Linked DNA regions of Macaca mulatta. The protein of the gene in region 3 purifies or fractionates together with the protein of the main gene of each other region. This does not show direct contact. Links are inferred from orthologs where the notes say so. Each region holds a gene or a part of one and is shown on either strand. Other genes may lie near its edges. The genes, in order: SKIL, SMURF1, SMAD3, LEMD3, USP15, KAT2B and RUNX3.

The links.
Region 1: the proteins of SMAD3 (region 3) and SKIL purify together in Homo sapiens (affinity purification with western blotting; 6 studies listed by BioGRID). This does not show direct contact. The link is inferred for Macaca mulatta from reciprocal best matches to the Homo sapiens genes SMAD3 and SKIL.
Region 2: the proteins of SMAD3 (region 3) and SMURF1 purify together in Homo sapiens (affinity purification with western blotting; 3 studies listed by BioGRID). This does not show direct contact. The link is inferred for Macaca mulatta from reciprocal best matches to the Homo sapiens genes SMAD3 and SMURF1.
Region 4: the proteins of SMAD3 (region 3) and LEMD3 purify together in Homo sapiens (affinity purification with mass spectrometry; 3 studies listed by BioGRID and IntAct, counting the BioPlex papers as one, with this or other methods). This does not show direct contact. The link is inferred for Macaca mulatta from reciprocal best matches to the Homo sapiens genes SMAD3 and LEMD3.
Region 5: the proteins of SMAD3 (region 3) and USP15 purify together in Homo sapiens (affinity purification with western blotting; 4 studies listed by BioGRID). This does not show direct contact. The link is inferred for Macaca mulatta from reciprocal best matches to the Homo sapiens genes SMAD3 and USP15.
Region 6: the proteins of SMAD3 (region 3) and KAT2B purify together in Homo sapiens (affinity purification with western blotting, with the first as the bait; 3 studies listed by BioGRID). This does not show direct contact. The link is inferred for Macaca mulatta from reciprocal best matches to the Homo sapiens genes SMAD3 and KAT2B.
Region 7: the proteins of SMAD3 (region 3) and RUNX3 purify together in Homo sapiens (affinity purification with western blotting; 3 studies listed by BioGRID). This does not show direct contact. The link is inferred for Macaca mulatta from reciprocal best matches to the Homo sapiens genes SMAD3 and RUNX3.

The regions. Positions count from the first base shown.
Region 1 is NC_133407.1:82,071,540-82,075,504, reverse strand, and holds the start of SKIL (ski-like protein), read right to left. Parts: upstream 2,801-3,965; 5' UTR 2,708-2,800; intron 768-2,707; 5' UTR 136-767; coding exon 1-135. UniProt on the Homo sapiens protein: May have regulatory role in cell division or differentiation in response to extracellular signals.
Region 2 is NC_133408.1:46,244,825-46,248,324, forward strand, and holds part of SMURF1 (E3 ubiquitin-protein ligase SMURF1), read right to left. Parts: intron 3,017-3,500; coding exon 2,917-3,016; 3' UTR 1-2,916. UniProt on the Homo sapiens protein: E3 ubiquitin-protein ligase that acts as a negative regulator of BMP signaling pathway. Mediates ubiquitination and degradation of SMAD1 and SMAD5, 2 receptor-regulated SMADs specific for the BMP pathway.
Region 3 is NC_133412.1:44,588,264-44,592,386, forward strand, and holds the start of SMAD3 (mothers against decapentaplegic homolog 3), read left to right. Parts: upstream 1-1,323; 5' UTR 1,324-1,445; coding exon 1,446-1,651; intron 1,652-4,123. UniProt on the Homo sapiens protein: Receptor-regulated SMAD (R-SMAD) that is an intracellular signal transducer and transcriptional modulator activated by TGF-beta (transforming growth factor) and activin type 1 receptor kinases.
Region 4 is NC_133416.1:72,335,616-72,339,717, reverse strand, and holds the start of LEMD3 (inner nuclear membrane protein Man1), read right to left. Parts: upstream 2,801-4,102; 5' UTR 2,790-2,800; coding exon 1,274-2,789; intron 1-1,273.
Region 5 is NC_133416.1:69,549,034-69,553,269, reverse strand, and holds the start of USP15 (ubiquitin carboxyl-terminal hydrolase 15), read right to left. Parts: upstream 2,801-4,236; 5' UTR 2,800-2,800; coding exon 2,711-2,799; intron 1-2,710. UniProt on the Homo sapiens protein: Hydrolase that removes conjugated ubiquitin from target proteins and regulates various pathways such as the TGF-beta receptor signaling, NF-kappa-B and RNF41/NRDP1-PRKN pathways.
Region 6 is NC_133407.1:28,410,232-28,413,731, forward strand, and holds part of KAT2B (histone acetyltransferase KAT2B), read right to left. Parts: intron 745-3,500; coding exon 551-744; 3' UTR 1-550. UniProt on the Homo sapiens protein: Functions as a histone acetyltransferase (HAT) to promote transcriptional activation. Has significant histone acetyltransferase activity with core histones (H3 and H4), and also with nucleosome core particles.
Region 7 is NC_133406.1:216,032,486-216,036,621, reverse strand, and holds the start of RUNX3 (runt-related transcription factor 3), read right to left. Parts: upstream 2,801-4,136; 5' UTR 1,993-2,800; coding exon 1,384-1,992; intron 1,094-1,383; coding exon 773-1,093; intron 378-772; exon of another isoform or gene 156-377; intron 1-155. UniProt on the Homo sapiens protein: Forms the heterodimeric complex core-binding factor (CBF) with CBFB.

The DNA.
Region 1 (3,965 bases), on a different chromosome or scaffold from region 3:
CTTGTTTATCATATTTCCATTTGCATTAATGTCTGTTACCATTTTTTTCGCTGGGGGGCTGCCATCATCTCCCATCCCATTCAGTTTTTTATTTGAGCCCTGAACCAAGGAGAAATTTGTCCGGAGGTTTTCCATCCTACACTCTTCTGTTAAATAATTAAATCTGAGATTAGCATTTCTATTTAGTTGCTTATTTGAAAAAGAGGAAATGAATGTATACAAATGCTTATAGTAACTTACTCTCAAAGAAACTTTTCAAAGAGAGATTCCCTTAAATTAATAAATTTTGCGACTTAGTTTTGGTTCTCCTTATATAATCTGGTATAATTTCACTGCAAGTCCTATGTAACTGTTCGTTTTGCCTCTAACAATAAAGAGGCACACCTCTGAGAATGCCTTTGTTTTCTTGAATTCTTCAGATATACATATTAAAATAAAGTTACCAATTTCTCAATTAAAGATGTCCAGGATCAATGCAATGGTTTGGTTTGTTTTAAGCAAAACACATGAAAAGTTTATGCCATTCCTTGGGCCATAAAATCTAGACTCAAACACAACTCAAAATGATGCAACCAAATTTAATCTTTACCACCAAGGAAACCGAAAAGGAGGGCAGAGGGAGTATGTCCTCTAAAAATGATGGTCTGCTGGTCTGTGCTGGAAAACCGAAGACGTGTGTAAATCCTCAAACCAGTGAGAAAAGCCTCCGACTTAAAAAACTGCCCAGTTATCTTCAAGGATTATAGTTCATTCTTCTTTTAATTAATCTGGAAGAAGAGAAGGGGGTGGGGGAACAGTTACATTTGAATTTGCTTCAGAGGCCAAACGGGGCCAGTTTAAAACCAGTTGGTTTTTTTTTTTTTTTTTTTTTTTTTTTTAACGGAGTCCCGCTCTGTCACCCAGGCTGGAGTGCAGTGATCTCGGCTTACTGCAACCTCCGCCTCCCGGGTTCAAGCAATTTTCCTGTCTCAGCCTCCCGAGTAGCTGGGACTACAGGCGCAAGCCACGACGCCCAGCTAATTTTTTAGTATTTTTAGTTGAGTCGGGGTTTCACCATATTGGTCAGGCTGGTCTGGAACTCCAGACCACAGGTGATCCTCCCACCTGGGTCTCCCAAAGTGCGGGAAATACAGGTGTGAGACACCGCACCCGGCCGAAACCAGTTGCTCAATCTTAAACTGAGTTCACTTTACCAAAGGTGAAGCTTGAGTGATTTCTTTAAATCTAACACCAGTTTACTAGAAGAACATTCATTTAAATAGGAAAGCAATTTGGAGTTGGAGAAAGCTAGCAATAATACAACACAAAAGGCCATTCGAGTTCAGAACATGAAGACTCTTAAACAGATCATCTCAATCAGTACCAGAGGCTTTCTCAGTTATGCCATTTTAAGGGAGGAAAAAAATCCATTACTTCATCTCCTATTTAAAAAAAAAAAAAAAAAAACAGTTTCATCCAAAAAAATCAGATAGGAGTTAACATATCTACCATATGTAACCAAGTTACAATTTTAAGTGAATTAATTCAGCTAGTCCATGTACACTAATTTTCTGAAATAACTGTAGACAAAAATTAACTCTCTCTTTAAAAGGTTAGCGATTTTACTTAATGGAAGCCAAAAGCTATAGACTCCACACCTGGGAATCTCCAACCTTGAACAAGACTAATCCGGGACAAAAAGCACAAGGCAGACAAACCTCACAAAGAATGCAAATGGAGGAAGAGGGGAAAAGAAAAGACTCTTCTACTTCCTTCTTGAGAGAAAACCCAAAATAAATCCAATAAATAGAAATTTTTACTTCCCAAACTCTCAGCAATTTACCTTAAAACAGACCCAAAGGATTAAGGACCAATGCCACCAACCATCGTACAGATTTTTGTCCACCACGAGAACACACCTCAGTCAACACAGGCCAAGGAAGAGGGCAAGAGGCATGCCCTAGAATGCGGGAGCCCCTAAAACCCTGAAGTCCTCCGCCCACTCAAAGCCACCCACCTATCTCTAACCCGAAGAGGGGGAGAACAAGGGACACGGGAAGCCTGGGGGTGGGTGTGCAAGGGGGCGGAGGGAAGTAAAGGGAGGAGTCCCCCCACCCCCACCCGCGAGCCTGGGATAACCCCAAGTGCCCTCCCAACACCGCCCCCCCGCGGGGGCCGCGGGAAGGACTGTGGAAATCCCCCCCCCTCCGCGCGCCCACTCCCTGGGAAGTTCTCGGGTGTCACCTCAGCGACCCTAATGGTGCACCTCCCCCCGCCAGCCCCGGGCCAGAACGAAGAGGGCATTGGGGCAGTTCAGGCGCCGAGAGCGGATCCCCGCGCCGCCGGGGGCTGACGGACCGGGTCGAGACCAGGGCATCCCCGCGGAGCGCTGCTGGAGTGGGGGAGGGGGGCGGTGACGGGCGTCCGGGTCTCCGGGGTCCCCGCGGCTCCCGTCAAGTGCAGCGCCCTGCCCTGCCCGCGCCCACCGCCTGGGGCCAACGAAGCGTGATCAGCTGTGGGACACGCGCCTAGCGACCCCCTCTGGCCCCGACCCCCCCCCCGGGACCCGCGCATCCAAACCCCCTACTCGGGCCTCGGTGCCCGGGAAGCTCCACGAGCTTTGTGAACTCCCCACCGCCCCTGTCGCCACCGTCGGGCTCCCAGGAGGGTGAGCGCCTCTGGCCTCCCGCCGCCTCCGCCGCGTCCCAGCCGTGAGCCGGAGCCGCACCTGTGCCCGCCGCCGCCGTCGCCGCTCGCCCGCTCCCTTCGGCTGTGCCGGCGCCGCTCCGAACCCCACACACATCGCTACACACAGCCCTCTGACGTCACCGAGTCCTCGGCCCGCCCACGTCACTGCGGAGACACACGGCTTCCCGCAGACGCCGCCGCCGTCTCCGGCCGCCCGGGGGAGAGCGAGGGCGGCGGGGAGGGGGAGGGGAAGGGAACGAAGCCAGCGGCGGCGCCGCGCGCGCGGGACCGCCGGCGTCTCCGCCGCCGCCGCCGCCACTTCGCGGCTCCCGACCCCCTCGGGGACGCGCGCGCCGTCTGGCCTATTGTAGCTCCTCAGGGCACCCCCCGGCCCAGTCGTCTCGCGCGCGTGCCCCTCCCCCCAGGCGCGCGCCCGGCGCTTCTGGCCCCGCGCGCCGTCTGGGCGGCTGGCGCGCGGCGCTGTCTGCGGTGCACCCGGCGCAGACAGGATGTTCCCTCCCCACCCCACCCTCACCGCCGCCCTCCCTCCTTCCTTCCTTCCTTTAGTCGCCCAGCCGGCTGTCTGGGGCCACCGCCCCGCCCCCGCCCCACCCGCCGCTCTGTGGTGATGGGCCAGACCCGGGGGCGCCCTGGCCGCTCGGACGCCGCGCAGCGGGGAAGAGGGGGCAGGGCAGCCACGCCGTGCACTGTGCGCGACCCCAGCAGCCGGCAGGGCGGAGGCAGTGCTCGCCCGGCAGAGCGCCGCCGCCCGAGGTCAGGCACGGGCGACCCTCCCCCTGCTGGGCCGCAGCTGGGCCGCCCCGCCCCGGAGGCAGCCGGGCGGCGGCCGCCCTGCAGGGCCCCGGGGGCCGGCTCTGCTCCCCGCCCCCGCGGGACCTCCCTCCTGGGCTGCCCCTCGCCCCCTCGGGGCCTCCTGCCCAAGGGCCGCCCAGCCAGCTGCCGGCGCTCCGCCCCGCCCCGGCGGCCCCGGCCTCGCCCGAGCGGCCTCCACCCAGACGCCTTCCCCTGGCTGACCTCCATCCGCCATCGGGTCGGGCGGGAGGGGTGGCCAAAGTTCTGGCAAAACCGAGAGCAAACATTTCTATCCCTGCTCCCCAGCCTCCTGCCTCCACCCCACCAGGCTGCTCTCTCGGTTCCAGAAGGGAGCTATAAATTACAGGTTTTTACAGTGTTTACTGAGGCCTTTTTCTTTTTTTTTTTTGGAGAGTGACGAGACGAGGTTGGGAATATAGGACTCAAGAGCTTTCCGGCTGTGACCCTCTGAGGCGTGTAGGGTG
Region 2 (3,500 bases), on a different chromosome or scaffold from region 3:
CAATACTTAAAAACAAGACATTACAAAATAAATTAAAAAATACATTATAAAGTGGTTGAGAAACAAAAATAAACACATTTTTAAAATCCATACTATGTTTCGGGAAGGCTGCCGTGCGGCACACACCTGGCTGCAGATGGCGGGTAGGGGGACATTTTCTCTGCAGAAGGCCTTTCCTGACATCTCGGACTGGGTGACCACCTTAATCTGAATTCGGACCATATGTCTGAACAAGCTCAGGGGTCGAAATTCGATCTGGTGGCAGATTCTCTTTTCAGAACTGGAGAGAGCCCTTTTCCTGTCGCCCCGGGCCTCCCAGGCAGCCTCAGCTCTTCCTACCAAAAGCACTGGCGGAGTGGTGTTTGCTACATCCCTGAGTGTCGGCTGACGGCCGCTGGTGAGGGCAAGCCTGAAAAGCCGGGCCCCTGAAGCATCTGGGCAGAGGGGCAGGGGGCATGGCTGGATCGCCTGGGACCACCGAGAGGGGCGACACAGATCACACGTGAATGGGCTTCGTGCGGACCCAAAGTCCAACAGTCGGGAAGCTTTTACCATTTGCTTGCCATATTGAGTTCTTTGGGGTGGTTCAAAAGGACCAAACAAACCATCGTAGAAACTGAAGGTTCTGGGAGTGCGATGCCACCGACAGGGAGGCCTGTTTGGAAAGAGTGAACCGGAGCTCTGGAAAGGTCTGCGACGCTCACACGACCGATGACAAGGCGGCAAACCCACACGCAGGTGGAAGTGGAAAAGCAGAGACGGGGGCCGGGACAGGAATGCCATGTGTCCGCCGGGGCCACCTGTGGAGGACCCGGGACCCAGCCCTCTGGCTCTGGGCTGAAGCAACACCCGGCATGAGAGGCAGGGCAGCACCGACCAGCATGGGGCTGGCGGGTGCAGCTGCTAAGGCTCGCCCCCGACTCCTCCCAACAGCAAAAAGGTAGTTTTAAAGGCGTCAAATGCAACATTCCTGCTTCAAAGTCTTTTAAACCATGAGACCCTGGTTTCCTTCCTAGTTACTGCAGATTTTGGATACCACCACCAGGACAATCAGGTGGGGCCTCCGACCTCATCCCGGAGGCCGCTTCAGTTCTCGGATGGATGTCTCTTCCGCCTCCCGTGGGTTAGGCTCGTGACAGAGAGTGGGCTCTCCGGGGGAGGGCTCTAGTTTTCACTTCCTCACCTTCAAGAGCAAGATGCAAGGAAAGGCTGGATAGAGCCACTGGGAAACGGGCTTCTAGAACACCTTCAGGAAGCATCATGGTGAATGAGACACAGGATGCGCCCACCTGGGGGGGCAAGGCAGAGCTTTTCAAAGAGGCTAAGCCCACCATTGGGCCTGGACTTCTGGAATGGGGGATTAAACTTTCCTCCTGCAGCAAACCTCGTTTGGCAGCCCTTCCATTCTAGAACCTCAGCAGCCCAGAAGTCAACAGTGACAAAAAGAACAGATAAAACCGTTGTCCACAAGGTCCTTCCCAGGCCATCTCAGACCCACAGCGGGATCCCAGAGACTTCGACAGCAGTGAAATGTCTTGCTCATCGATTACCCTGTACTTGCCCCCACCCCAAACAAAAACAACAAAGAAACCATACAGGAACATTGGTTGCTGCTGCTGTTTTCTGCCCAAGTTCAGCTACTGGAAATCAAGCCACTTTAAGATAAAACACTGTTTGACTTCTGTGCAAACTGGAAAATGGTGTCAGAAACTTCGAGTCTAGGCTTGCTTCTGGCCTTGCTGATCATACGAAGACATCTGGGCAAGTGAACCGAGTAGCAATCGTTAGTGTCACCAGCTGCCACTGGGAAAGGGGCCACACGAGGCAGTGTGGAGCTGTCCCCCTCTGCGGTCACAGGTTTGCGTCCACACTCTACTTTTTGTAGAACAGTATCTTTGGGTGGATTTACATCATCGAGGTTATCCTTTCACCATTGCTTTTAAGCTAGTTCGCACCAAGCCAGCAGCTATGATAACACAATTTTGTTAGTTTAGCTCTTAGCAGTTGCCGCATCATGGTTTACTAATATTTTAAGTGACACAGTTGATGCTCTTCTATGGACAACAGTGGCACAGAGGTCACAGCTTTGGGACTGACTGGTTGGCTCTAGGGCTGATTTTGGTCTGCTCTTTTCTACACTCCGTGACATGGTGTTTTCACTGAAAAGAAAAGTCAAACTGGACAGATAATGCAGCAAAAGGGGCCCTTAAAAGATGGTTTTTCTCTACGTAAAATATTCTCAGCCAAGATACCCAGCAAAGAAATATCCTGGCTCCAGGAAAAGCTGCTCCAATTCCTTCTCCTTTCAAAGGGGCAACGCATTTTGACTCAAGCTTCCTGCTGTGGCAGAATTCCAATAAGCATACGTTAGGCAGTTATTTTTCAGTTGGAAATTCATCTGCTGCCCAGAACAGGCTGCTGGGATGTGAAATCTGGAATCTGAGCTCTGGTAAGATATCTAGCAGCTGCTCAAATTGAAAAGGGGCCCCAAGGCTATTTGAGATGGAACAGCGGGGATAGCCAGCAGTTCCAAACCCTCAGCCAGCCACACTCAGTCCCCTAACTGTGGGCTGATGCTCCCGTAAAGAGCTCAGGGCCATGAGCCTTATCACCACATGGGTTGCAACCACAGCAGAATATCCTGTGTGACCAAAGCCAAAGGCTAACCCTGGCTGCATTTTATTGGATGGGTGATGGAAGCGGGTGGGAGTACTATAATAAAGGAGAGATATATGGGTGGGAGCCACCAACAAAAGTCCCCCATCCCCCTCCCCCAAGAGAAAGGAGAGAGACAACCCTTTCCCCTCAGGTGATCCGGAATTCCAGGGCCTCTGCCAGCTTTGCAGGAGGCGCACAGAAGCTGGATGCTTTTGGTCTGGTGGCCATGAGCTAGACTCTGTTGCCTTTGGTTGCTTTTCACTCCACAGCAAACCCGCAGGTCTCCTCCACGGCTGTCAGCAGCTTCTCGTAGAGCTTCTCATAGGACTCATATGGTGGAATGTCGATCCGGTTAAAGCTGAAAAAGGACAAAAAAGTGAGAGTCACTGGGTGGGCAGTCCAGCCCTGGGACCAACCTCAAGGCCAAGGACAGGCAGCGAGAAGTGTGTGTGGGAGGGGAGAGGAATGGGGGGCGGGGCAGGAGTGGTGGTGAGTTCTCCATGTCCCCCTGTGCTTTTCTGCCTCTAATACAAAGATTTGTAATTTGTTTTTGCTTTTTGGTAGAGACAGGGTCTTGCTAGTTTCCCCAGGCTGCTCTCAAACTCCTGGCCTCAGGTGAACCTCTTGCCTTGGCCTCCCAACATGCTGGGACTACAGGCCTAAGCCACTGTGCCCAATCAACACACAGTGAAGTAAGTCTTGAGCCTTGACAACCAAAACATCACCAAATTACTGTTCACGGCTTCTATCAGGACAAAGCTCTCCGCTTGTTTTTGTCTGTCTGTCTGTGGGAGAAATTCTTTCTCTGTGCTAGGAATGCCTCTTTGGCAGCCCGTGTAACC
Region 3 (4,123 bases):
CATTTACTGGGAATTATCAAATTTCCGATCTTTCTCTATCAGGAGATCCAGCAACACCGTGTTATGTAAATTTCTTCCAAAGATAAATTCGAAAGCACCTCCATTCATTCCTTCAAGAACTCAACAGATGTCCTTGAGGCTCATTTTCTGCCGGGCACTCAGTTCAGAAGGCTCAAAGGATCCCTGGCTCCAGCCATTGTCCAGGTTGTCACTGGTGTCCCCAGCTCTCCATTTCTGAGGACCCACTTCTCCCCCCCCCACACCCTCCTCCGCACACTTTCCCAAGGCTCTCGGCCGGTGTGATCTCACCAACGAGAGAATAAAAACAGCCCAGGGGCGCGGGCGCGGGCGCGGGCGCCGGCCAAGAGCCTTGACGGGGATCAGCCAGCGCGAGGCCAAGTGCGGGCCCCAACTTCCTGGGCCCGGGCCTTCCGCGCGCCCCCTCTCGGGCTCGGGTCCTCTCCAGGGTTCACTCCCGTCCGGACGGCGCTTACTTGCTGCGAGTCCAACCCTCTCCGGCCCGCAACTCCAACCGAGCCGCACAAGTGTGGACTCCGAGAGCGGACGCCTCGGGCCGCGCTCAGCCCTCCCGCCCGAGGCCCCTCTCGCCGCGCGTTTCCCAGGACTTCCTCCCCGCGCCCGCCCGACTTCAGGTCGGGGCCGCGCGGGGTCCCGCGCGCTCCAGCCAGGACTGCCGCCGCCCGCGTTGCCCACGTGGGCGTGCTGGGCACGGGGTGGTGGCCGGCCGGCCGGCCGGCCGCCCTCCCCGGAGCAGGGGGCGGGCAGGGCGCCCGCGGGAGGAGGTGGCGGGGCGCAGGGGAGGAGGCGGAGAGCCCCGGCGGCGAGGGGGCGGTGACAGCGCTTGGAAAGGAGGCTGCACGCGGATTTGCATGAAACACAGACTGGGAGCGGGCGGGAGCGGGAGCGCGGCGCACGCCCCGGGCCGGCCCAGCCAGCGAGCGAGCTAGCGGCGAGCCGGGAGGAGGAGGGTGGCGAGGCGGCGAGGCAGCAGAGGCGGAGGGATCTGCGCATCAAAGCTAGCAAGGCGAGCGAAGTTTGGCCGGGGGTTGGACTTTCCTTCCCGGAGGCGGCACCCAAACAGCTACCCCGTGCGGAAACCCAAACTTCTGCTGCCACTTGGAGTCTCGCGGCCGCCGCCTCCGCCCCGCGTTCGGGGCCTTCCCAACCCGGCACCGCTGCCGTCCGCCCGCCCGGCCGCCCTTCTCTTCGCCGTGGGAGCCGCTCCGGGCGCAGGGCCGCGCGCCGAGCCCCGCAGGCTGCAGCGCCGCGGCCCGGCCCGGCGCCCCAGCAACTTCGCCGAGAGTTGAGGCGAAGTTTGGGCGACCGCGGCAGGCCACGGCCGAGCTCCCCTCTGCGCCCCCGGCGTTCCGTCGAGCCCAGCCCCGCCGGGGGCGCTCCTCGCCGCCCGCGCGCCCTCCCCAGCCATGTCGTCCATCCTGCCTTTCACTCCCCCGATCGTGAAGCGCCTGCTGGGCTGGAAGAAGGGTGAGCAGAACGGGCAGGAGGAGAAATGGTGCGAGAAGGCGGTCAAGAGCCTGGTCAAGAAACTCAAGAAGACGGGGCAGCTGGACGAGCTGGAGAAGGCCATCACCACGCAGAACGCCAACACCAAGTGCATCACCATCCCCAGGTGGGGGCCCGCCCGGGGGACCCGGGGACACGCCGACCCGGCCCCCTGGCACTGCGGGGCCGACCCATTGGGGTTGGAGATGGGAAGAGGGAGAGAGAGGGAGTGAGACTGTGTGGGTGCGTGTGTGTGAGAGTGGGAGCTAGAGCGCGGGCAGGAAGGGGGTGGGGGGACCCCAAACAAAACCATCTCTGCATTTGCAAAGATCAGAGCCCGAGGCTTCCACACGGTACTCTGGCTTCCAGACCTCACATTCCCTTTCCACCTCCGGGAGGGGAGAGCGGGTTGTTGCGGGACTCGGCCGCCCCCACCCTGGGGAGCTGGGGCTGGAAGTTGAGGCCCGCTTTGTTCGGCTCCGCGGGCCGGAGCCCCTCCTCCGCCGCCGCCGCCTCCCGCCCCCGCGGCCCGCGCTCGTGGAGGTGGTGGTGTCTTTGCGTTTCTTTTCTTCAGTCCGGTCTCCCCACTTTCCTCTACAGGAATGCGGTCCGTACAGCTGGGGCTGTGGGTGAGGAGCGGGAGCCTCGTGATTGACAGATTCCTTCTTCGTTCTTTCTTTGCCTTCGGGATTAGCATTTTTATCGAGTATTTTTAGACTCGGTTGTGCCAGTCTCCCGCCCCCTGAGCACGCACGCACTTTGGTTGCAGTGCAATGCTCTGACTTCCAAATGGGAGAGACAAGTGGCAGAAAATAGGGTCTTCTCCCCCACCTCCCACTCCCCATCCCGACTCTTTTGCCCTCCTTTTGGTCCAAGAGATTTTGAGTCCGTGCAGAATGAGGGAGAGGGGCGGGCTGGAACCGGGCAGATAACAAAACACACCCCAAAGTGGGCCTCGCATCGGCCCTCGCATTCCTGTAGAGCCCTCCTTCCCAAAGCGCGCTGCCATCTGTCTGCATCTCCTTTATCCTTCCTGTTGCGCGCTAGCTAGGTCGGGCGGGAGCCCACAGATGGCTGATAGAAAGGGTCAGTGACTTCTCTCCACTCCCCCAGGGCCTTCCTTAGCTTAGCTGTGCCTGGCTGGGAATTGGGGGTGGGGATACCTTGACTTCCTGTCTCTACCTCTCAGCCTCCTTTGATTCTGAATCAAGGGAGAGAGTGTGTGTGTTGGGGGCTGGCTGTTTTGGGGGTCCCAGGCTGCAGAGGAATGAGTAGAAAGCACCAGGGACTGTAAGCCAAAAAAGGGATTGTCATCCCTGCCCCTGGGCCAGGGTGGACTCCATCCTTGGCCACCTGCTTGGGGCAGTTGTACAAGGGCTGCCAGGCGAGTCAGGCAGGCACAAAGCAACATCTGTCCACGGGAACCCAGGGCAGGCCTCCCCTGGAAATAAATGCCACATATGGTGGGAGTGCAGACTTAAATTTTTTTTTTTTTTTTTTGACTGGGTGGATCCAGTCAATAAAGGGGGAGGGAAGGCGGTGTGCTGTCTGGGGAAGTCCCTGGCCGTGTGATCGGGAGCCAGAATTGACTTCAGAGGAGGTGGTGTGATGTGATGGTCAGAGAGACCTGGGATTTGGTTCCAGCTCTGGTTCTTAATTCTTCTGTATTCCTTCGGTGGGGGTGGAGAGGGTAGAGTGGGTGAATATGCTACTTCTCTGTCTGGGGAGGGGTCTGTCAAACCTACCTTCCTCTTATCTGCCTGGGTGCATTGAAGACAAGTGCTTTATGCATTGAAACAGGAAAAAAAATGGTATCAATTATAAAACAGGCAGCTGTGAAAAGTGTTTCACGGTTTACAAAGCACTTTCACATGGTTTTCTGAGGTCCTCAAAACAAGATAGAAAGCAAGCAAGCAAGCAACCAGCCCTGGAAAGTAGATAAGGTTGTTAGGCTTAAGATTATCACGTTTTTAAAGCAGAGGAAACTTTAAAAGAGAGAGGTGAAAAGGCTTGAGTTGTAGACGTGGGATTCTGACAGAATGTGCTCTTTCTGCTGACCCATGCTGCTTTATACTTTGAAGATCCTGAATACATTCTTTGCTGAATGCTAAAACTGTGTTAGCTTGGGGAGGGCCCTGTGGATGTTTGTATGTGCGGTTGCTTCTTTAATCTTTGGGCTGGTGATCGCTTGGCAGAGAGGCCCTGCTTTCCCTTGCCTTGGTAGGAGTTTGTCCTCTGTGGGGCCATACCTTTGGCCTGCCTTTTCCTCTTCCAAAGTCCTGCTGAGACTTTGGAAGCCTAAGACATGTGAACGCTTTGGATGATTCTGAGGGTTCAAGCCAACCTGCCCTGTGGCCTTCTCGTGACTTTGTTAGGACTGAGGCATCTTCTGCCTGCCTGGATAGGACTGAATGCAAAAGCAGATTTTTTTTTTTTCATCTTTTTTTTCAGTTAGGGAAACCCAGTTGCTTGGGTGGATCCAGACAAAATGGATTTTCATCCTTGGATTTTGTGCCCACGCCTCTGGGTCACCTTGTGTCCCTTGGCAACAGCTGCTGCTGTTTTGGTCGTGGGCAGAAAACTAAAGGCCACGTCTTGG
Region 4 (4,102 bases), on a different chromosome or scaffold from region 3:
TATTTTGAAATAAAACTAATAAGCCAACTTTATGAATACAAATAAAAATACAGTGAATTCATCTTGGGTGAAAATAGGAAGGCTTCAGGGGAATGCAGAGAGAGACCTAACACTGAGAAATTATGTATTCAGAAGTCCATTTTGTACTAATTTACTTTCTCTTTTAATCTTCACAAACATCATTCTAGTCAATAGAGGCCTCATTTTATAGATTAGGAAAGTTCAGAAGCTTTAACTCTTACTCTCTCCCTTTTGCTCAAGGTGCTTAACCACTTTAACCTACAAGAAGGCTCTCTTGCTCAACTCAAGGTCCTTCCTCTTACAATCTGCTCAGAATGGTCTCCTGTTTCTCAACAAGGCTGTCTCCTGCTTCAGGTCTCACCTCAAACAGTACCTCCTCCGTTCAATCTAAAGCAGTGTACACCTACGTCAGTGTAGTGTGGTAAGTTTTTTTAAAAAAAGGAAAAAAAAATAAAGTTGTGTACTTCAATTACTCATCTTTATTTCCTTCGCAGAACACAAAATGGTCTGTATTCATCTTCTTTTTGTGTTTAAGGGCAGAAATACTTTGATAATGACAATGAACACACCTACCTACAGTCATTTAGCAAGTAAATAACAGGACCTGGAAACCAATCCAAGGAAATCTGACTGCAAGCTCCTGCACTGCCCTACCACTACTTTTTGTACAGATGACAGGGAAAGTGCTTTGGGCTGGGAAATAAATTAAGAGGTGTGCCTTGCTGCTTTTTTATATTCATTCACTATTAAGAAATTATACATATAGTTAATACGACAAAATATTTAACCCGAATTTATGCATACAGTTAATACTACAAATAATTCGAATTTCAAGAGCCACTACATTGCCTACTAGAATCACAACTCAATTTGAAAAAACACTACATTTATAATGTGCCTTATCCTAATACTTCAAATTTGTTGAGTGATTGGCATCTGCGCAAATATTTAGGGCTAAAAGAAAACTGTCACATATACAAATGAGTTTTACTAACAAGCTTATAATATTCTTTTAAAAATTGTTTTGAATTTCACAATACATCATGCAGAAAACTTAACACCAGTCATATGATATCATTTCGATAATGGTGTTCTTTCTTAAAGAAAGATGACACATGCACTGACTGTTGCGTTTTTGCTGTCAAACCATGTTCTTGCAGGTAAGTCAGTTCATGTAAAACGCTAAGCGCGGCTAAAGCGGACCACTAACAACATTCCCTTTGTTACCTTACCCACAGGATTTAATACTTACTGCTGAGTTTTCCATCCTCAGATACTCCTGTCCCTCTCATTCCTAGGTATGTCAGTCCCAGTATTAGGAAAAATAAGCAGGCAGCAGTTAAGAGAAACATCGACAAGTAGTGGGCACTGAAACTCCCTGTTGGGGACACCTCCTCCCGTTTAAATTGCTGGAGAAGTTCCTCTTCGGGTTCGGAAAGCTTCGGTTTGTTGTATGTGTTTTTCAGGTAGGTATGATTGGAGCCCGTATGATTGGCGTGGTTGATCCTGAGTGAACTAGCGGCGGCCACCGCCGCACTGGGAGGGAGGCTGTTAGAATAAATCCTGGGAGAGTCCACATTGAAGGCCCCACCGCCAATATGATTATTGGTTTTCAGAAGGGAGCCTGTTGACGAATCCAAGGTTGAGTCCATGTCAGTAAGTGGCGGGGGCAGGAGTGGGGTCAGTTTCTTAGCGTTAACACGGTATCTAGGAACCGGGCTGGAGTCCACTTGATCACACCCTCCTCCCTGCTCCGCCGCCTCTTCGAGGTTTCGGCTCCTGTCTAGACTCCCGGCAGCCGCCGCCCTGTCATTCATCGCGTGTCCTCCCCCTCCCTGAACTGAAGTCTCCAGCCTGCCGCCGGCCGATTTAGCAGTCAGCGGGGAGAGAGGCTTACTATGGGTTCGTCTGGGCCGATGCCGGGAAACGGAGTCGTCCTTTAATACCTGTCTGCTGGAGGCCACGTCGTCGTCGTCCTCTTCCTCTGAGTCCGAATAGTTTTCCCGGCAGCTGTAGGGGACAAGCCGGCTGCCATTCACGGTCCGGCTCGCCCAGAGCGGCTCCTCGGCCTCCGGGTCCCTCTCCTCACCGTCCTCTCCCTCCCCTTCCTCGTCCTCCACTGCTCCATCTTTCCCCGGCGGGGTCTGCAGGTCGGGGCCCGCCGGCCTCCTGGCCCCCCACCACGAGTGGGGCTTCCTTCGCTCGGCAGAGTTGCTGTTAGTCACCTCGCTGGCGGCCAGGGGCGCCGGCGGCGCTTTGAGCCCGCGGTACTGGAGCGAAGCCCGGTCTTTCCTCCCGCCGCCGCCGGCCTGGTCCCGGGGACTGGCCTCCACGTCCGACTCGTCCGAGCTGAAGCCCAGCAGCACTTTGCTGCCAGCCGTGGGGGCGGCGGAGGCGCCCCCGGGCCCTCCCAGGAGGTTCTCCGAGCCGGAGGCCGAGATTCGGCACAGGCCCCCAGGAGTCCGTAAGTAGGAGAGGTCGCCCGCGACTGGCCGGACCCCCATCCCCGCGGCTGCTGCCGCCGCTGGTCCCGCGGCTACGACCGTGGCGGCTGCCGTGTTATTGTTATTACTGTTCCGCGTCTTGTTGCCGCGGCCCCCCGACCGGTGCTGTTGCTGCTCTTCCTCTCGAAGCTTCTTCAGCTTCTTGAGGTAGACCGGGCGGGTGCTCTCCGTCACTGGTCCGGGAGACAGGCCGTAACGGCGGAGCTGAGAGAAAAGCTCCTCATCCGAGAGCTGCTGAGGTGCCGAAGCCGCTGCCGCCGCCATTTTCTCTCCAGGGTGTTTTACAAGCTCCGCGCTACCGGAAGTGACGCGCCGCCCTAGACCCTGAACTAGACCGCGCGGCGTCGCCCTCCCAGCGCCGCGGACGTCTCGGCCAATGGGAGGCGCGGGAGGAGCTCACCTGAGCGGGAAACAGCCACCTGAGCAGCGCGCGGCTCCCACGGCGGAGACTGTTTCTACTCTCTCACCTTGAGGTGTCGGCGCATTCTCCCCGCTCTTCTCTGTCTCATCTCCAGCTGTTCTCCGCCCTGCCCTTCCAAGCGCCGTTCCCAGGAGCTGTCTCTTACTAAACCACACCTTGACCTCTCCTTCCTAGGTTCCTGCCACCGGGCAGTAATAATTGAAATTACCTTGAAGTTCATGGCATAAGTTTTCTTTACATCTGGATTCCCACTGCCAAGGAAGCCTAGACCTACTGAAAGAAATTCTGCTGGCCAGACTAGATTGGCAGCTTTCCCGTCTGACTTCAGGTTGTCTATTTTCAGTTCGTCTTTCGCTTGACTTACCAAAAAAAAAAAAATTGACTTTCTCTCACTGCTCTTGAGAAGCCTCACCTCTCCCATTCTGAGAAGATACAGAGTACACCAATCACAATACAATTTTCTTCTAGCGTAATGGCTGTTCATATTCATTAGTTAATTGTAAGATATTATCTTATTTTTTCCTTTTTTGAAACCTAATGACTTCCCTACGTGAGCACTTTTGAAAGTGAAAGCTTATCTGCTTCATTTTAAGACTCTCAAAGACATAACACATGATCCTATTTATTTCCTTCTTAGCGCCTTTCCAACCAATTTTATTTATTAGTTATTAATAAATATTTGTATTTATTTTCGAAATTAGTTATTGTCCTATCCTTTTGGACTGTAATAAGCTCCATGTGTGGAGGAACCTTGCTTCTGTTACGATACTAGTAGAAGCTCAATAAATATTTGTTGAATTAATTAAAGAATTGCAAACAAAGGATAGTATGAGATGAATATTTTGAAATAAGACTAGTGCCAGGTGAGGTGGAGAAACCTTCACACAAAGTCAAAAAAACAAGGACGAGACCTGGAAACCCAACTCTCCCATTTACAGAATAGGAAATGAATCCCAGAGAGGTGAAATATGCCCAGTGTGGTGAAGATCTTTTCCCATTTTCCCATTTCCCCAAACCTTGGCAGACAGACAATTCTTTATTACTTCAATCCTAGTAGCTACAAAATACTACAATAATTTTTTGTTGTTGAATGAGCTATTTTACCTATTACGTTACATTATACACCTGTACAGAAAAATGTTAGTCAAAAGCATAG
Region 5 (4,236 bases), on a different chromosome or scaffold from region 3:
ATGGTAAATTTCAAAGAACCTGATTCAAAGATTAAAAAAAGGTATTAAAAGGAAAAACAACTTTCTAGTGAGTTCCAAAAACATAAACTAAATTAATACATATCCTGACCAGTTCTGTACTTGTAAGTTCATCATCAAATTCATACTTATCAAATTATTCTCTCTAAAACTCTGAATCAATTTTTTGTTCTATACTACTTTGTTTTTGAACAGGTTTCACTTGCTAATTTGCAAATAAACTGGCTTACAAATAAATCAAACTGGTTTCTGCAACTCCCAGTACCTTCTTTCTCTCTCAGGTTTTTTCCTTTAAGAGAAAGTTAACGTGAGGATAAACTTGCACAATCTGCTTTTATCTAAATATGTGGTCCTCAGTTTACTTTTATTTAAAATAAAAGCACTGAAATGACTCAAATTTATGAGCCTCTTGTATTCAGTCGTGCTTTATACTTGTAATACTAGCATTTTGGGAGGCTAAGGTGAATCACTTGCAGCTAGGAGTTCAAGATCAGCATGGGCAATATAGTGAAACACAGTTTGTACCTATGGAGCTCTACACACACACGCACATATATAAAACAATTTACATTAATTTTGTCAAAAAGCAAAAATATACTCATTTGAAAATACCAAACTTTATAAAGTTAAACGCCCACAATGCACATATTGCTCCTATCATCCTGTAGTGTCAACACCAATTACTCCATATACAAAAACGTGACATTAATGAGACAATAATACTTATATTTTAACTTATAGACTTAATAGATTTCTATTTTAAGGAAATTCACTTTTTAAAATAAGGTGGTAATAGGTTGGGTGAATTAAGAATTTTTAAATGTTCTTTAACTTACAATAGTGAGCAGGGACTTATTTGTCATACCACAAGCCAAGGTAAACATGGGTGTCCTAGGAAATGTCCAATTTCCCCACAGTAATAAACATCTTACTAACATTATAATAAAAACAGTAACTTTCTTTTTTTTTTGAGATGGAGTCTCACGTTGCCCAGGTTGGAGTGCAGTGGCCGGATCTCAGCTCACTGCAACCTCTGCTTCCTAGGCTCAGGCAATCCTCCCACCTCAGCCTCCTGAGTAGCTGGGACCACAGGCGTGCCACCATGCCCAGCTAATTTTTTGTATTTTTGTAGAGACGGGGTTTTGCCGTGGTGCCCAGGCTGGTCTCGAACTTCTGAGTTCAAGTGATCCTCCCTCCTCGGCCTCCCAAAGTCCTGGGATTACAGGCGTGAGCCACCCTGCCAGGTCAAAAATAACTATTATTAAGTCACTTGAAGATTCTATTTTTTTGATACAATGAAACAAGTATATATTTACATCCTTAGGGATTTCTATCGTATACACATAGTATACAGCCTACCAAAAAAGAAAAAAGAGACTAAGACTTAGATCAAGGTTAAATTATGGTCCTAAATCTGCCACCTATTAGCTTAACTGAAAATGATCCCAGTATCACAGCCTTTTGTCAAGAGTAAAGAGCAGAAGGTAACTAAAATTTAGTATCTCATAAACATAAAATTCTTAAGATATTAAAACGAATCAAGATAAAACCTTTATAATAAAATACTGTCCATTTTACAGAAGAGACTGAGGTGCAATGATTTAAATTAACTCTCCTCAAAGTCATACTGCAAGTTGAGTGGTGAAACTGTGACATAACTCAGGTCTAAATCTTACTGCTCCTTCCACTATGCCATAGTGAAACACTCTATAAATTATATACTACTGTTATGGTAACAGTGGGAAGTGAAAATATTTTTTATTATAATGAAGAGGCACATTATCCTTCCCCAAAAATAAGGAATTTTAAATTATGTTACATATTCACATATTTAAGTTATTCTAGATGCCACTGGATATGGCCGACAAGTGTGAAAATGTCCACATACATCCTTCAGTATTATAAATATATATCCTTTGGTATTTTACAAGTTCGAATATTAGCAGTTAGTTAAGCCTCAAGTGGACTTATCAACTTTTTGCAGGCCTACGTTATTCTTCAAACAGAAGGGAAGGGCTGCACATCTAACAGAAACGCTGCCGGCTTTTATCAAGCCACCACTAAAGCACAAGACCACGTGGTCTCTCATAAGCCTAAGGTTCCCTACTCCTCTCCCTCCTTTGACAAGGAACTGGAAACTAGGGTTTCTTTCTCTTATGTGGGGCACTGACATGCCACCTGTGTAGTACAGACCGCAAACATCCTGCAGCCTGCCTCCCGGAAGACTACAAGAATCAGAATAAAAGGGAACTTGGACGCCGACAATTCTAGGAAAGGAAATGAACAGAGAAGTAAAGCCGGTGAGATCATGATAAGCCGCGGCACCGGGACCTGTCAAAACAGCGTATATGAGACTCAAACCAAACCACTATAACCTATCATTCGAGAAGGCCTGAGGTGGGAGCGGCACTACGGAAGGAAGGAGGAAGAAGAGAACCGCACGAGTCAGTGCCGCCGCCGCCGCCGCTCTCCGGACACCTTTCAGCATGCCCTGGCAAGCCACGAACCCTGACCCTCATCTAGAGTCCAACCTTTGCCCTAACATTTCAGAAGCAGCCAAAATCCTGCTACCCCGGCGGCCGCCGCCAGACCTGCCCGCACCTGTCACCAGCGAAAGACACCAGCTCGCGGCTCCCGCCCTCTTCTCCACTATCCTCGGGCAACCGCAGGCATCTCAACCCCTTTCTCTTACCAGGTGTCCCCTTTCCGGAGCGAGGTTTTGAGCAGCGTCGCGATGTCAGACCGCTGGGTGTCCAGATCCGCCGCTCCGCCTTCCGCCATCTTCTTCCACTAGCGGTAGGGGAGGTGGCAGCGACGGCGGCGGCACGCCCCAGAGCATTATGGGAATGGCGTCCCCACGGCCCCTCCCAGTCGGCCGGTCGAAACCAAAAGACACCGGGAGCGGGGGTGGTCCTCGGGACAAGAGGAGGCCCCGGGGGCGGACTAGGTGCGCGGCCATGGTCTGCTGCCCCCCATCGGTCCCCGCCCGTTCAGCATCTTGCCTCGGCCTCCTCTGGCTCGGGACAGCCAGGTTTTAGCTCTCCTCGCCGCCGAGGGCTCCGGCGCTCTCTCGCTAGAAGGATGCCACCGCCCTGTCCTCCCATCCTCGGCGTTGCCTTCCCCTCCCTCTTTCCCACTGACGCCTTGAAAACCCTTATTTGCGCATTCACTCACGCCTGGGGGTGAGGTAGGGTGGGGCGGGGGGGCGTGGGGACGGCTAAGATATGGCAGAAAATTTAGCAGCTCCGCGACTGGGCTTTTCGTTAAAAGTAGCAGAACCCAAGCTCGGTGAATACGGGCACACACAAAAAACATTCCGAAACCGAACGCTTGGTCTCCATGCCCTTCCGGGGTTCCTTCCAGCGCTCTTACTCCCATTGTAGGTGGGGACCCTTTATAGGCTCTTTGTGACGCCTCCCCAGGCACACCCAGACGACTAAGCTGCGGTGAAAAACATGTCCCAGTTCATCGGTGAACATCGAGTAGAATATGGACATTATTGAATAATGCCAGATACTAAAGGAAGAAAACGTGAGAGAAACCCTCTTCTTTATACAAGAGAGTAACATTTTCTTAGCCCCATCTTCCTGTGGTGCCGTACACCTGAAATGAAACTAGGTATGTCTTTCATTTGAAGTCAACGATTATGTTACAAAATAGAAAATCGAGTCGCTTAAAAAGCAAATGCCAAGGTCACACAGCAGGTGGAGAGGTAAGTGGAGAGGCTGGTTCAAGAGCCCACGTGCTATACAGTACAGCACACTCATTGCCTCTCCTTATGAAAGCCTGGACTAAAATGTAAACTCCTTAAGAGCTGGAACTGGGTTCATCTTTTGTTTTAACCTCTGTATACCTGGTGGTTAGCATAGTACTACTGGACATGTAAAAATCACCTAAATATTTGTTTAATAAATGAATTGTGGCAAAATTACTTAAGTATTCCCGAGCATGATGTCCAGGGGTTTGATTTTAACATACCATTTGATGTGAAAAGTCTAAAAGATGGGCCAGAATCCCTGCATCATTTCTCTTGTTTCCCCATTTTAAACCCTAACTCATTTGGTGAGAATGCAATGAAGAAGGTGTAGTTACGCTAGTAGAAAGTGATGAATCCTTCCAAGTGAAAGTAGTGTACATTCGCATTATGATTTGTGTATATCAGTATTATGATTATGATTGCTTATTTCTGCATCATAATAATATTTTGCATTATCATGC
Region 6 (3,500 bases), on a different chromosome or scaffold from region 3:
GCTCAAAGCACCTCATCTAGATGAGTGTTTTAAAAAATATATATAAAAAGTCTATAATGAGACTTCAAACATCACATATTTCACCTCTTACAGGCTTTTTTAAAATCATGTATCCCTTCCTTAAAGTCCTTCGGAATAAAATAAAAATAAACTCTCACATTCCATTAGAAAAAAATGGAAACATTCACGGTCTGAAAATTTTATGAATTTCCCCAAATTTTGCTACTATGTGCAATTTCCTCACACACAGGTTTTGAGGAAACCCCTAATCATCTATCATGGAATAGTCAGCTAATGGACATGCCATAGAAAATTTACCTTAATAGTAGTAAATAGATTAAAATCTATTCCATAAAATAAAAATGTCCTATGACTTCAATTTAAATACATATCTGAAAAGCTAAAAGGAGGTTTTTTGTTTTTCAAAAGTGCTAATTATTACATTTACAAGTCTCTTCAATACATCATGTCCAATTCTTTGTAAAAAACTAAACCACCTTGCTTTAGGCACACTGCTTGATGAGTTTCTAAGAAGCAGAGGGGAAAAAAATCACTTGTCAATTAATCCAGCTTCCTTAATTTTACTGAAGAAGAATTTCTCCAGGATATTGGCACATTTGTAGTATTCACTCTCAGGGGGGTTGTACTCTTTGCAATTGGTAAAGACTCGCTGTAAGTCTGCCATGAATAATTTCTTAGACACGTAGTACCTATTCTTGAGGCGTTCACTCATGGTTTTCAGATCTGCACAGGAAAAAAAAATATTAGCAATCTTTGACTCATTTTAAACACCAGCTGACAAAACTGGGACTGGGAAAGAAATCTATGTTGTTGGTTTGATTACATTTTTATCATCCCAATGCTTTTATTTAAGAGAAATTCTTATGATCAAGGAAAACAGTTCTTAAATCTTATGTTCATTCTCTTGTGGGTTCTTTAAAAATGTCAAATCACAGCCATTTTAGCATTAAAGGGACCATTATTAGTCATCTGGTTCAATCCCCTATTCAGCACAAGGAAGCTAAGTAGATTAGCAACAATAAGTATGATGAACTGACTACTGTTAGCTATTCATTCAGAATTACACAGAAGAAGCTCTATCTATATGGAGCAGAGCAGGTGGATCGTTGGTATTGAATCATTTAATTACTTAAAACTATCAGACTGCGTTTGTTTCACTAAACTCACAGTTGTTTTGGTGTCATATAGATAAAGTAGAGAAACTAATAATAAATACATCTGTGAACACACCAGTGACCTTGCATGTAAAATGATTCGAATGAATTTTGCTTCAAGCTCCATCAATGAAATAAGAATAACAAACTTCATTTAATAATCTATTTTCTAAAGCAAGTAAGCCTTGTGAGACTATTGCAAAGAATTTCCCAATATAGCTGCTTGCTTTAAATGGCAGAATTTTACAGGTGAAAACAGTACTCCAGCTAAACTGATAAAACTAAAGAGGGGTTTCCTCAGTCCTCACTGTCAGGACTAATTTAAAGAATTATATGCAGATTAGAATAGATGCTAACATTTGTCTATTTATGGTTCCCTGGTTGTCTTGAAGTCTGGCTTTATTGTTAAAAGCTATAATTGTATTAACTATGTGTGGAAAAATAAGTCAAATGCGGGGGGGAAACACTTTTGACTACCCAAATCCCAAATTCTAAGCATGTTACAAAATTTCCAGGGGAAAGAAACCTATAACCAAATACACTGGGATCATCATTTAATAAGGTAAGTAAATTTATGTACAATATCCCCAAATGGGAAGAAATTCATTTGCATCAATATCCTAAATCCACCACAAGAGCATCAAAGAAGAAATGGAAAAAAGCTGCTTCTGCCTATCTCTTGATTAAAGCCTATCTTGGTTAGAGTGTATGTCATCACATCTATAAATTCAACTTTCAACTTTTCTTTCTTCTCTAACTAAAACAATTTGGAGAGAGAGAAAAATCTAAAAGCGTTAAGAAACACAAAGACTCATCAAATCCACACTAAATGTCCCATCCACGTGTGACTGAACAGATCAAAATGTTCTCTCATTTAAGGAAGAAAAAAACAATGAAATTGACCCTAAGTAAAAGTAGATGTTTACATTCCTTTCACTTTTCCACCTAAATGTCTACCACTTAAGATGTGCTGCCCAATATAATATTTATAACGTTTTAAAAGGAAGAAACATGTACCCCCCAAAAAGGTGGAGGGGGAGCAAAAGGATGACACAACACAAAGAAGTTTGTCCAAAAGCTTTCGAACTACTTTTAGGAGGTGGGTAAGAAAAGATGGAGAGAGCCTAAAATGCAACAGAAACAAAGCAAGAATTATGGAGGTGTCTGGACTTTTCTGAATAACTATAAACAATTCTGAATACTTCCTTTCTATTCTATAGCTATAGATAGCATTTTTCTTCCTCTGGCCTTCTTAGAGTTTTTTCAATTGACAAAATGAGGTGGGTTAAAAAAGGTGACTAAATATTGGTGGTACCAAATATAGAGACACCATTAAATTATTGTTTTCATGTCCCTTCCCCTTAATTTGGGAATTCTGGATAAGCATGAAAATCCTGCCTAGCCATCCATGTGTAACAAGAAGTCATGCTTGGGCTGGACTATACAGGTGATGTCCAGTGTGTGACTCCCTAAATAAAACAGGTTAGATCCCATCCATATGAGAGAAAACAGGTTAGATCCCATCCATATGAGAGAAAATCTCATCCATTTTTAGAATATGGGGAAAGAAAAGTAATGTTATTAGAAAAATCAAATAAGGAAACAATGGGAAAATGTAAAATTATTGATTTGTCATTCTTGTCTTCAAATACAAGATAATCTTGGGGACAAAACTAAATATTTTACTCAGCATCTAAACAATACCAAGAAAAAAAAAAATACTGCCCTACTGAAGAACACCATTTATAGCTTTAATTAAGTTTGTCCAGCACACATTTCAGCCAATCATTGGCCTTGCTCAATTAGGTCAGTTTTCCCCTCGTGAGACTCAGCTATGCACACAGGTTGTATCCAACTGGAGAAGTTCACAACCTTTACAGGTTGGACCAAGCAAAAACACTTTCAGAAAGCAGGCTGTAAGTAGGCTATGATCAATGGGATCCGCTAGACCTATCACTGCACGTCTTCAGAGTGCACGTGGACAGGGGCTGAAAGGGCCCCAAACTGACACAACTTCCCATGAGGGTTTCACAAAAGAAGCTGAGACAGTCCAGAGAAGAGGATACAAAAATCAGTTAATTTATGGTTAGAAATGGACACAAAGAGTTTTAACATATTTTGCACATAGTGGACAATACTGATTCCCAAATCAGCCTTCCATTCAGAATTCTAGACTGACTCAACCCTACCCTTTATTTTCTTGTACTGAAATAAATAGTGGTAAGGCAGAGAGAAGAGGGAAAGAAAAGCATATAGATGTGTGTCCACTTTAAGGGGTGTAGGCTACTGAAATCATTACTATAAATATATAAAATATTCATGTGA
Region 7 (4,136 bases), on a different chromosome or scaffold from region 3:
CAGCCACCTCGGGCAGCACCACCCCCAGCCGCCGGCCCTTCCTGCCCTGCCCTTTTCTCACGGCAGCTGTGAGAGGTTTAGGGGAAAACCGAGGCGTTTTCGTTTCATCTCGCTGCCCCCTTAAAAAAATGAAAATGAAACAGTCGCCTACTCCCTGGCATAAAGAAAAAGGTCCTCTAAATGGCTGGGGGCTGCCAGAGTTAGGGGTCCCCCAATCTCAACCTGCCATTCAGGACGCAGAATATCCCCCAGCAAACGTCTGGAGAGCAGTGCCCCGATCCCGGCCTAGCGCCGTCCCGTAAAATTTCGGAAGCCCGAGGGTGTGAGCAGGAAGCGTCTGAGAAGCGGCGCGGGAGGAGGGGTGCTGGCGGCGGAGGGTAGGCCCTTTCACCGTTCGCACCCCACCCGCGGTGTCCTTGCCCCGGTGCCGGGATCCTCTTCTCCGTTACCCGCAGGGCTGTATCTGAGCGATCCGGGTGCGGGGGGGCAAAACCCCATCCGCCCATTTCCGCACCAACGTCTCTACGCAGGGCGCCCTAAAACCCAGGTGGAGCGGGGCAACCCCCTTAAAAGTCATCCGTGCAGGGCGCATCCAAAACGGAACGCCGATGTCCCCAAGCCGAGTGCGCAGCGAGACAGAACCGGGTGCCCAGGTGTCGCCGCGGCCTCTGGGGCACCTCCCCTCCCCACTGCTCCGGAGGTTCTGGCTCCCGCAGCTTGGACGCCCGGAGCCCCAGGGCCGGCGCCCTCCCGCCCCGGGTCCCGCACTCACCTTGAAGGCGACGGGCAGTGTCTTGTTGCAGCGCCAGTGCGAGGGCAGCACCGAGCAGAGGAAGTTGGGGCTGTCGGTGCGCACGAGCTCGCCCGCGTGGTCCGCCAGCACGTCCACCATCGAGCGCACCTCGGGCCGGGCGCGCCCTCCGGGCCCCACGGCTGCCTGCGCGCTGAGCGCGCCGCTGTTCTCGCCCATCTTGCCGCCGCCGCCGCAGGGGAAGGCCGTGGAGGGAGGTGTGAAGCGGCGGCTGGTGCTTGGGTCTACAGGAATACGCATAACAGCGGCCGTCAGGGCGCCGGGCGGGCGGCGACGGCGCGGCTTCCCCCGGGGGCGGCCGGCGCGGACGCCTCCTCGGCCGCCGCTGCCGCGAGAAGCGGGAAAGCAGAAGCGGCGGGGCCCGGGCCTCAGGGCGCAGGGGGCGGCGCCCGGCCACTACTCGCCAGGGCCCGCCCGCTGCGAGGCCTCGCTAGTCCGACGGCCGTCCGCAGCCTGCCCGGCTAGTCCCGCATCCCCGGCGCGCGGCACCGCGTGCGGCCGCCCCTCGCGGCTGTTCCGGCTGCCTGGGCCGCGGCGGGGCCCCCGCGGGGCTGTGCCGCCGCCGCCGCCGCCTCCCGCCCCGAGGCTCGCCCGCGGCCGCCCCGACTCCGCGGCCGCAGCCCCAGAACAAATCCTCTAGAATCAAGTGGCGGGGCCGTGGCCGCCCGCGCGGGGTTAGTACCCCCGGGGCCCGCGGGGCGGGGCCGGCCCGAGCGACGCGTCGCACAGCCAATCGGCGGAGCCCCCATCGCGGGCACCTCGGTGGCGTTCGCGGGGAGGAACGGGGCCTGCCGGAGGCCGCCCAACGGGGAGGGGCGGAAGGCGCCACCCCGCGGAGGAGGCCCCCGTGCCACAGCCCAGGGCCCCCGAGAGCTCTGGGAGCCCGGGGCAGATGCTAGAAATTTGCTTAGAACGTCCGGGTCCCACAGAAGGCGCCCTTGTCGCCCTCTCCCGGGTCGCATCTCCCTGACGCTGGGGCGCAAACCCTTCGCCCCTCCTCCCCGCTGGCCGCGGCCGGGCTTCCCCAGCTCTTGCTGCTTCGGGCCTGTGACTTCTGCAACCCCGGGCTGGGGGCCGCGGGAGCCCAGGGCCGGTGACACCGCACTGGGAGCCGCCCCAAAGAGGTTACTCACCTCCCTCCTCCCGCAAATTACTCTGACCCAAGAGCCTCCAACCCACATGGGATTTTTGTGCGCCGTCCACGCCCGGCCGGCGGCCTCTGCCGCTCCCAGCCCTGCGCGGCTTTGGTCCCAGCCTCGGTGGCCCCTGTGCCAAACCGAGGACAGGCGGAAGGGAGTCTCCCAGGGACCCTAAGTAGCCTGGGGCCAACAACCCCTTTCCTCTCTACTCTCCCCTCAAAACAAGTTTCAGGATCTCGCAGGCCTCGCGGCGTCGTTCTTCGTTGTGGCGGCCTGTGGCTCTTTGAAAAACACGACGAGGCCTGCAAAATGCGTTTTCCCGATTTTTTTCCTTTACGCATGTAACTACGGTCCTGCATCGTGAAACACTACGCGCGTCGGCGACAAAAGAAAAACTGAGCAGTGGCTGCAAAGCTAAGGGCCCCGGCTTTCAGAGGAGAGAATTTTCTTTCTCCATGCGTGTGGAAAGTGGCCTCCGCGGATCCAATCCCACTTCTTGGGCTCGTGCGCTCTGGCTGCGCTGCAGGGACTGCTGACAGTTTCGCCAAGGCACTGCCTGCCCTCCTGGCTCCGCGTCCCCGCTCCCACTCCCAGCCGCGTGGCCCAACCTCTCCCGGGCTTCACTGCAAACAACCCCTTCCTCTCCCGCCTCTTAAGTCAGTCGAGCAGGCCTAGGGGACGGCTACAGCTGGGAGGGCAACGGGAAAGATCAAGCCCCAATCATTCCGAATTATCGCCCCAGACCCCTCCCTAGACTCTGGGGAACGAACGCGTGCTGAGCCTCCCCGCCGCTTTGGAGACTGGGCTATATTTTCGTTGCCTCCGGCTCTCGACAGGTGCAAAACAGTCAATTCCAAGCCTCGGAAGTAAAGAAGCTTAGGATTCGACGGTGGCCGCAAGATCTCATCACGGATCTGACCCCTGCCCAGCGTGCGCCATTTCGTCGTCGCCAAACGAAATCAAGCCCCTCGTGCGCTCAAGGGGTGAAGGACTCTGGCCTCACCCCGACCGTCGGAAGAGCTGGCCCCTGCCCGGCTCGAGGCCTCATATCACGCCCTCAGGCCATTTCGAACGCAAGAACGGCAAAGGTCCCTTACTGAACCTTGTAAGAGAGCCTGCGCCTGGCAGTTGTCGATTGCGGACCCAGGCCCGCGCACCCTCGGACGCGCTGGCATGAGCAGCAGAACTAGAGGAAAGCGAGCGATCCAGCCTGGGCGCTCCCATCTCCAGGAACGTCTCCGGGAAGGCCCAGCGCGTCGTGGCCAGGTAGGGCCCGGGCCGGGGGCGGGCAACACGTGCTGCCCTGGAGCTGTTGCGGGACCATGACCCGCAGTTTCAGGTGGTGGTAAATTCCATTTGTCGAGTGGTTTGGGTTTGCACCGTGCCCTTTGCTTGTCCCTCCGCCTGATTTCTCCCTCTCCCCTTACGGCGGGTTCACAGACGGCTTCCCAGAGAGTGGGGGACTCTTGTGAGCCCTGGCACCTGGCGCAGGGCCCGGCACGGCTCCGGCCCTCCGTAGAGCGCTGGCTCTCCATGGGCACCAGATCCAAGGTACTGGGGGGCGGGGTGCAGGCCCTTGCGTCCGCAGACCAAGGTCGCCCGGCCGCCTGGCAGGCACGGTGGCGGGAGCTGCCGCTAGTTGGCGCCCGCACCCTGCCAGCCGCGGAGGTGCGGGCCCTGCCAGGCTACAGATGCGCGCCAGCTGCGGCCCCGGGTGCAGGCGCGGTGGCCGTCCCCCAAGAAGGTGCCCTTTCCTTGCCACCAATGCGGCCAGGTCTCTGACAAACCGATGGCTGTGTGTCAAACCAAGGCCGCCTTCCTCACCTCTGATGAGACGGACGCCTTCCGCCTTCGCGTTTTCAGGCACTGGGGAGAAGACCCACAGAACAGGCTAGCTTGTTCCCAATTTCCACCGATCGCCAACCTGCTTCCTCCCCATCCTGGACCGACAAACTTTGTCGTTTGTTTGATGGGAGGGAGAGCTCCCACTCCCCCACCTGGGGCATGCAGACACCCTCGCCCTTCCCCAGCTGGCATCCCCAGCTGGCATGGAGGTCTTTTCTCCCTCTTCCATCAGATCGATGGACAAACAGCCCAGTTTCTCTCCAGTGGTCCCCACCTAAGAGCATCCTAAGTTGTCCACAGCAGGGCTAGGAAGCGGAAGGTCAGGACACTCCCCTCCCCTA